2 linked regions of the Yarrowia lipolytica genome follow. The protein of the gene in region 2 interacts with the protein of the main gene of each other region in a pairwise test. Links are inferred from orthologs where the notes say so. Each region holds a gene or a part of one and is shown on either strand. Other genes may lie near its edges.

Region 1 (4,473 bases), on a different chromosome or scaffold from region 2:
TAGAAACATTGCGTGCGTGAAATAACAATTGTCGTATTTGTAATAACCTGACGCCGTATAATACTATTTAGCTGGTACAATTGATACTGAATGCTCGCTCAAGGTTCTGAACTGACCTCTTATTCACTACAAGTGTTTGTATCTTCCAAATATCTCTCGTTATAGAGCTCCATACACCCCCTGTTATTTTAGCTACTGCTTGTACACGGAGATATGCGAAAAAAGTCAGATGCAGCAGAATCCAAAGACGACATACAATAGGCTTGTACTGTGAGTCCTATCCGAGTGCATATTCTGCGGTCATGGTGATTGACGGAGTCCGACAGACACGGTCACAGTGATTCGTATTGTGGCACTCGCTCTATGGCACTCGTGACTCGTGATCGCTATACGGTGTGAGGATACGTCCCGAGAAACTACAATGTAGCCCTCTGCCACGAGATCTTTTTCCGAAGTTCAGAACGATTCGTGCTGTTCACTCGCAGTTCTCACAATAATGTCAATATCTATTGGTATGCCTATATAACCCGTCCCTAGTCCCTCACAATGCCCCCATTTCCATCCTACACAACCTGAGGAGTGTCCAGGAAGTCCATCTCATTCAGAGCGTAGTCTAGCAGATAGCTCTCGTCGTACATCTCATCGACCCGGTTAAAGTGTCGCTCCGAGTAAGGAATGAGAGCGTCTGTCATGGTGGAAATCTTGGGCACCTGGCTGAGCTTGTCAACCGAGTGGTTAACCAGAATGCAGTTCATGACCCGCTGAGCCACCACCGACGATCGAGCATTCGTGTTCCAGTCTCGGACTCGCTTGATCAGAAGCTCCAGTTGCTCGACATTGAGTCCAGCAATCACATTGTCGACCTTAGTCAGACCCATGATGGAGTCCTCGTCCTGGCGATCAGCAAGCACGTCTCGGAACAGACAGAAAAGCTTGTAGGGCTGGTTCAGAGTCAGAGCAAGCAGAATAGCATTCTCCCAGTCCTTGGACCGCACGTAGTTTGCCAGCTGCTGCTCCTGCTCCACCTGAAGCTCGGCAGCAGCCTTCTTGGCAGCCTTCTCCTCGTCGGAGATATCCTTCCACACAGTAATGGTTCCCTCTCCGTCTCCAGAGACCATCTGGGCACCGTCATCGGAGCCTCGAACAGCCAGAGACCACACCTTGTCTTCATGGTTGTCCAAAGTGACAGCACATTCTCCAGAGGCATAAGTCCATACCTTGATGAGTCCGTCTCCTCCAGAGGAGACAATCTGGGAGCCCAGAGAAGTCCACACGGTTCGCAGAACCGAGTTGGTATGGCCTTCAAATGTTCGCAGGCACGAAAAGTCGTTCAGAGACCACACCTTGACGGTCTTGTCTCCCGATCCAGTTACAATCTGTTTCTCGTAGGGGTTGAACTTGATAGACCAGACGCCTCGCTTGTGTCCTCGCAGCACTCCCACAGCCTCACCCGAGTTCATGTCCCACACCTTTGCAGTTCTGTCCTGAGAAGCCGTAGCAAACAGTCTATCGTTAGGAGACACGTCCAGAGCATTGATATCCTTCTCGTGGGCCTTTCGGGTGTACTCGGCCTTCGCAGTACCGTCCTTGGCAATGTTCCACTTCTTGATGGTCAGATCTTGCGAGCCGGTAATGAGGAACTGAGGAGGTCGACCCTCAAGAGGAAGTCTAGGAAGAGCAACACCTCCCACAGAACCAGCATGACCGGTGCAGACAGCAAAGCAGGTCAGAGTGGGCACGTGCCAGATTCTAGCCTCGTGATCCTTTCCAGAGGAAGCCAGCCAGGTACCGTCAAACGATCGGTCCACGGCAATGACGTTATCTCTATGTCCAGTCAGAACGTTGGTTTCGATTCCTCCAACGGTCTGGATTCGAATGTCGGGCGCGTTGGTGACCACCGCCAGCTTGGACTCGTCTTCGCCAACATAAGTCATATCGATGATCTGATCATGGAAACCCACAATACGTCGCACCTCCTTTAGGTCGTCGTCCAGCTCCACAAAAGTCTGGTCTGACAGCACAGACACAAGCTTGTCGGTCTTATACAGAATGTCCACCACTCCCACTCGCTCGTTTTCCTTGTTGTGCACTGCAGGCTGGACCTGGGCAGCAATCAGAGCAGAAGTCTGACCGTTCCAGATCTTCACAACTCCCATCTCGCCACCAGTATAGATTCGAAGACCCTCGCCATTCAGGATACCGGCTGTCTCGATACTCTCACCCACGGGGATGGTTCGCACCAGCTTGAACTTGTTGGCGTCCCACACGTTGACGATCTTGTCTCGGCCTCCAGACACAAGAATGCCACCGTCGGAGCTCCAGGACAGACCTCGAATGACCGAGTTATGCGAATCCAGCACCTTGAGACACTTTCGGCTCACGAGATCCCAAACTCGGATCTTGCAGTCGTCCGCTCCGGACGCCAGGCGCCACACTGAGCCGCCCTGTTCGCCGAAAAACTTCAATGCAGAAACCACTCCTCCATGGCCCTTGAGATTGTGAGTCACAAATCCCCGCTCCAGATCCCACACCTTGACGGTTCCCTCGGCTCCTCCGGTCGCCACCAGACTCGATGAGCTGTCGATAGCCATGACAATCACTGGGGCGTCATGGGCCCGGGCTGATCGAACCAGTTCTCCACTGGGGATTCGGTATGTGCGCATTGTCAGAGATCGGGAGCATGTGACGAGGTATTGGGCATCGGGACTTATTTCCAGAGTCGTCAGAATCTCACTATCGCCCTCGATTCGGCAGATTTCCTCTCCAGTTTTGATGTTGGTCACCACCACGTCCTCTCCAAAAGAGGTGGCCAGGGTGTACCCGTCGTCGGCGAGAGAGGTCTTGCCACCGGTGTAGAAAGGCTCCACGGATACGGCTTCGAACGCAGTCTTTTCCGTCGTTTCCATCTTGTCTTTTGGTAGTATAGCAGATGTGTTTCGTGCAGTTGGATTTCAGCACACCAATTTTTTCCAATCTTGCATGTTGCAAACGTTAATTAATTTTTCCAGAACCATGTATGTAAGAGGAGGAAGTACGAGTAGCCTCTCTTAGTGGCATTGATCTGGAGTCAGACCAAAATGACAGCCTTGGAGCAGTCACTTTGAGCAGTTATTGGATTATTAAGACTCCCAGTTCCAATTTGTGACCATTTTTGATGGTCCTTCCACTTTTTTTTTTTTTTTTTCTGCATATACATTACATATACCATACTTCACCTAAGCTAACTAATACCACCTAAATTACTTACCCTCACCACCCCACCTCAACCCAGATCATAATAGAAACTGAACGATTGATTTACTGATCCAATGGCTCGTGTATTGCCGGCAGTATACCTTTTGTGACTGTATCGTCAAACTCTTGGCTTGCATTCTCCATCTACTGTATTTGTACTTATACAAGTATCACTTTTCCTTGTATTCAGTGCATATGCCCCCTATTTGGCTGTCATACGAGCTACAAAACACACATTCCCCCATTTATTACGAGTACAAGTACAAGTACGATACGAAGACACAACTATCACATAGAACGCCGTCTACAAATACGCCATTCAAGATAACTCCAGATCTTGTCGGTCACGTGGTCACGATCCGTCCTCATGTACAGTATGTACGATACCGCCAGTACTTGGCACACTGTTTGCAAATCTTCCTGCTACCCACCCGAGAGCTTCTTCAGAACACGTCACGTGACACGGAGTTTCCAACCTCCCCCCCACCCGCCGAGCCGTTGCACTGTATTACGCAAATCTCCCACACTGCACGCACAATATCGTGCAGTAACGTTCGACACGAAAGAAACAGGCATGTATGATTTTTCAAACGAGGAATACGAAGGTGGAACTTTAAGCGAAACGCCGGTGTGAAAAAACATGCGCTAACTATGAAGGCAATGGAGACAACTGGGAGAGACCAGACAAGGGGTTAAGACGTGTTTTTCTTTTGGAAGTGGAGTGAATGGAGTTGGTCACGTGTACACACACACACACACACACATACACAATCCACACAACCCAAGTCTGAATTCGTGGTGGGATCGAGTTGCAACAAAAGGTGGTGCGGATGCACGGACGGTCACCTCCACACGCCATGTCATGTCATCCCATCTCGCTCAGGTCGTATGTCTAAGGTTCTTCATGCAAGTGATTTGGGCAAAGCCTATTGTGTTTGTATATATAGACGCGACTGGGGGGCACGCATTACAACTAGCTATCACCGACAGTACGAACCGCCACAATGAAATTCGTCGGTCTGATTTCCCTGCTGCTGGTGGGTCTGTACATGGTCACCAACTGGCTCTTTATCAACGTGCTCCCACACAGATACATCTTCGACAAGGATGAGCTCATGACCATGGTCAACCAGACTCTGGAGCGAAACCCCGACGGAAACTCGACCGCCATTCTGACCGATCTGGGCGCCTCTCTGCACGACCGATATGGCAAGTTCATCAACGAGCTCAACTTTGACG
Region 2 (4,837 bases):
GTATCTACGGAGGAGAGACAGTATCTACGGAGGAGAGACAGTATCTACGGAGGAGAGACAGTATCTACGGAGGAGAGACAGTATCTACGGAGGAGAGACAGTATCTACGGAGGAGAGACAGTATCTACGGAGGAGAGGCAGTATCTACGGGGGAGCTCCATCTCAAGTTCAAAGATGCGGCCAATCTCAGGTGACTGGGAGTATCCGGCAGGCGATCTATCTCTGGCCCGGCCAGCAATGACAAGAGAGTGTAACCGAGAAATCGACAATCTGATCCTCCAGGCCGCACATGGAACAGTCTCGATTGAAAAACCATGGCAACTCGTGAACTACCATTCTTCAATCTGTCAGTTCGCACTTGTAGGACTTCCGACTCACTACTTGGCCAATGGCAACTTTCAACTCGTCTCTCCTTAAGGCACTTGCATCCGACTTCTTCTCGCCAGGTTCTGGACAATTCAACATTGTAATCTGTAATCTGTATATCCTATCTTTAGTATCTATTCAATTAGCAGTAGCTAGTGACAACAAGTCACCATGTATTCGCTCTTCAATGCGATTTAAACAACCGTGCCAAAAGCACGCTTCTTCTGCGATCTCTCCTCGGCCTCCTTGGCCTCCACAGCGTCGATAAACTCCTTCTTATGATGCAGGTCCCAGTTTTGCTTGATGAACCGCAGACCGGCCAGGTTGTAGCCAATCTCGGACTTTTGACGAGCCAGGCACTTTCGAATGTTGTGTCGCACCTCCTCCAGCATGGGCTTGAGCTCCCGGGAAGCCACAATCTGCTTATGGTGAGTTCGAGTCACGAAAAAGAGAACCCGACACACAAGAGGAATAGACCACTCCTTGGCGGTCCAGATCTGGATGAACCGCACCAGCTTCATCACGTGGCTGAAGGGCAGCACCAGCAATGAGTCCTCCAGCTGCGCTGGCTTGATCTTCTCAACAACGTTGAGAACGTGTCGCTCGGCAGACAGCTTCAGCGTGGCGAGAATCACGTGACGGGGAGGGCAGGCCGCGTTGGGGTTGGTTGCCTGGGCAATCTTCCAGTTTTCGATCAGGTCCAGGTCCTCGGTTCCCATTTCCAGCGCCTCCATGAGCTTTTCTCCGCCCTTGAGCGTCTCTCCAGTCTGCATATGCACTTTATCCACGACCGCGTCTTCCTTGTCATCTTCGTCGAGCTCCTGGCCCTCTCCCTCGAGAGACACGGCGAGTGTGGACTCATACATTTCCTCGAGCTCCTTTTCTCGTTCTTCTTCGAGGAAGATTTCGTCATCGGACTCCATCCACACTCGGATACTCTTATCATGCGAACCGGAGACAATAAAGTCACCGGCAGACGACACGCAGAGGGCCCAGACCTCGCCGACGTGGCCCACCAGCCGCTGGATGCAGTCAAACTTGTCTCCGTCCCAGTACTTGACCAGCCTGTCTTTTCCTGCCGAAAAGAAGTTGTGAGACCCGGGTACAAACTTGACGCTCATGACCGAGTCGGCGTGTCCAAACAGAGACTTTCGACAGTCTCCAAAGTCCAGACCCCACAGCTTGATGTTCTTGTCGGCCGAACATGTGACGATGATGTTGGAATCGCTGGAAATGTCCATGGCCAAAACAGGCAGCTTGTGGCCGTACAAGTTGAGGTAGAACTTGAGCGAGTCGAAGAAAAAGACTTTAACAGTCGAGTCCAGCAGAGAGCAGGCAATGTACTTGTTATCTGACGATAGAGTGACGCACAGAACGTCGTCGGACAGCTCCAGAACACGGGTCTGCTTCAGCTTCAGCTTCTGAGTGGTCTCTCCAGTACCGGGAACGGTCTCCGAGGAAACAGCCAGCTCCCAGAAACACACCCGCTTATCAGATCCACCCGTAACCACGGTTTTGCCGTCACTGGAAACGTCACAAGACCACAGAGATCCCTCATGGGCATCTACAGTGTCAATGAGAGACGAGGAAGCAACATCAAACAGCTGGATCTGTCCAGACTTGGTTCCAACAATCACCAGCGAGTCTCCAGGCAGAAACTTGACACACAGAGCATACCCACAGTCCATGGACCGAATGCAGTTTGTGGTTCTGAGATTCCAGATTTTGAGCTGACCGTTGGAGGTGGAGGCCACCATCTTGTCATCAGAAGAAAGAGACAGAGCCCGAATGTCGGCGCGGTGGCCGCACAGATCGATCACGTGATCCCGGCTAAACTTGCCGTCCTCCAACTCGAGGGTGTAGTACTCCAGAGAGTTGTTTGTGAGCGCCACCAGCAGGCCTGCGGCGTCCTTGTTGGCGCCAGACACCGATTCTGATCCCGTCCACGTCACGTTTCTGATCTTGGCAGATGTCTTGAAGTTGACCACCTGCACCCAGATCTCGTTGACCGACTTCTCGTCGTACTCGTCTTCGTCAACAGTATCACCCTTCTTGACTCGACGTTTGATTTTCTTAGCAATAGATTTCTTGATCTCGGCCAAAGTTCGTCGTCGCCACAATTCCACAGTCTTATCGTTACCGGAAAAGATGACATGGCCGCCGTCCTTGGAAAACTCGATATCGATGCCTCGGTCGTTGGAAACCCGCTCCAGAGAACCGCGCTGAGAGAGCATCTCGCCGTCCTTGGCGTCCAAATCCACCTGCCAGACCTTGACCTCCTTTTCTCGCCCCACAGTCATGACGGTGTCGCTGTAAACGTCCATGGCCCACACCTCGGAGCCGCCCACCCGCGTCTCGATGCAGTCACGTGACTCCAGGTCCCAGATCTTGACCAAGCCGTCCTTGGCGCACGTGATGAGTTTCTTTTCGTCTAGGAACTTGACTCCCGTCACCTGGTCTCGGTGGGATCGCAGTCGAGACACGCCCACCTCTTCAACTAGGTCCCACAGAATCACGTTGGAGTCACGCGAGCCGGAAACAAGCCGGGTTCCACTTGCGTCAAACTCGAGACATGTGATTGAAGACTTGTGGCCCTTGAAGGTGGTCATTACCTGGCCAGATCGATAGTCAAACACCCGGATACTGCCGTCGGTGTATCCCGCAGCTAGCAGTTCGGAAAAATAGTTTGTCAGCACAGAAACAACCGGAGGAGACGCAGTTGCCACCGTGGCACCTGTTCCGACTGCCAGATCGCTGTCTGACAGCTTCTGAACACAGGTTCCGGCCTTGATGTCCCAGGCCAGAACTGTCTCTAGAGCCCCTGTCACGGCCCGTCCAGTACTGGAATTTGAATTTTTCAGCCACAGCGCATTGCTCGACGACACGACGCCAAACACGGCCTCGGCCTCGAATCGGTTGTATGATTTTACCATGGTGTGATGGGGTTGTAGATGTAGTGCAAATTGCAGTCGCCATGCATGCAAATAAAAATATTTTAGACTTCGCGTTAAGGTTTTTCAGTTTACAGTACAGATTATGACTATGAGCGCAACAGTACAACTGAGGAACCCCTTCTGCTTACATAAGTCACCATTTGCTAGGTTAAGTATAACTACAAAGACGTACACTTGCTATGGCGGTTGTCTCGTGTTCGTGATGTGATTATGGACAGTTAGTGACAATTATTGACAGAGTCAAGTGTCCAATAATTTAGTTTAGCCACGATAGGGTCTTTGTTGGGATATTACTTGACACTTGTGTTGTACTGTACATACATCCAAACTCCGGTAGGCAGAGGAGGACTGAACCTGCGGGACATGGGACGTTTCATGGTGTGCCTGAAGGCCGCTCGGGCTTACAGGTTCTTCCATGGCTCATCGCCGGCCCTTTGGGACTGCACCTTCCAGTTCTACAGCAGAACTCACAGTCTCACACAGGAAAAGCCACACCAGCGCGTCGACTGCCGCTTTCCGACAGGCCAAGCTTGGGGCTACGCAGCCTCCCCCACCATGCGAGACGCAATCAGAGCTTCTTTCGAGCTCAACAAGCCCCTCACCGCGGAACATGCCAACCCTCGAGAAGATCACGAGCCCTCTACAACAGACACAGTTAATCACAGAATCTGGGAACGAAACCAGGTGAACGTGAGAGCAGCAGAATCTTTCCGGGAAGCACACGTCGACATCGCAGCCGCGAGACGATACCATCCGGTCAGAATGGTGTCCACAGCGGAAATCGACCACCTCCGGTGGAGCATGGGACCACCAACTTACTCTAGAGAACTTCATGTTTCACAAGACCCCGTCTCCCGACTTGCCAAACTTCCCACACACCACTTGCACGACCGAAGAAGTGGACTCAACGAAGCCGACTACGGGGGCATCTCTGGACGACATGGTCTTGGCAGGAGGTAATGCATGAACCTTCGAAAAACACTACATCGCCGACGCCAACAAAGAACACAAGTTCTTTCAACCTCATGCGGATATCTCGACTTCCGCTCGTGAAAATGGAGGATACCCTGACGACCACGTTTTCACCAAGAAGAATCCAGGATGCGGGCTCTGTGATAAGGCCATCATTCAGGATCTGCACGAGCATATCTTCTGCAAGTGCGAAGTTCTTCTTTCCATGTTGACCAGGATGAAGATTCCGTCAGTGGACTCTCTAAAGGACTGGATCTTTACCGAGTCGAAATGTGGAGTAATCCCCCTCTTTCCCAGGGGCATTGTGAACAGTGGACGCCCCCCGGAAACATTCAAACAAGTCCCAAGACACGCAAATATCTGCGGGAAATTGGCTTATGGGATCTGAAAAATGGAGAGATCCTTCCGGTAACTCAGGGAACGACCGCCACCCTGGGAAATGTCCAACAGGGGTTTGCTTTCAATTCCTGAAGGAAGCCCAGATGTGTTTCTACGATGGACAAACCCCCAGCACTTCACGGATGAGCGAGAGTAAGACACAGTAG

The links. The genes of interacting proteins can lie anywhere in the genome.
Region 1: the proteins of YALI1_C01297g (region 2) and YALI1_E38020g interact in binary tests that used the Saccharomyces cerevisiae proteins (3 or more experiments, as listed by UniProt). The link is inferred for Yarrowia lipolytica from reciprocal best matches to the Saccharomyces cerevisiae genes DIP2 and UTP13.

What each region holds. Positions count from the first base shown.
Region 1 is NC_090774.1:3,799,140-3,803,612, forward strand, and holds YALI1_E38020g (uncharacterized protein), read right to left. Parts: upstream 2,907-4,473; coding exon 564-2,906; downstream 1-563. Other genes in the region: YALI1_E38034g (uncharacterized protein), read left to right, coding at 4,239-4,473. UniProt on the Saccharomyces cerevisiae protein: Involved in nucleolar processing of pre-18S ribosomal RNA.
Region 2 is NC_090772.1:126,446-131,282, forward strand, and holds YALI1_C01297g (uncharacterized protein), read right to left. Parts: upstream 3,300-4,837; coding exon 561-3,299; downstream 1-560. Other genes in the region: YALI1_C01262g (uncharacterized protein), read left to right, coding at 1-241; YALI1_C01301t (uncharacterized protein), read left to right, coding at 3,684-4,280. UniProt on the Saccharomyces cerevisiae protein: Involved in nucleolar processing of pre-18S ribosomal RNA.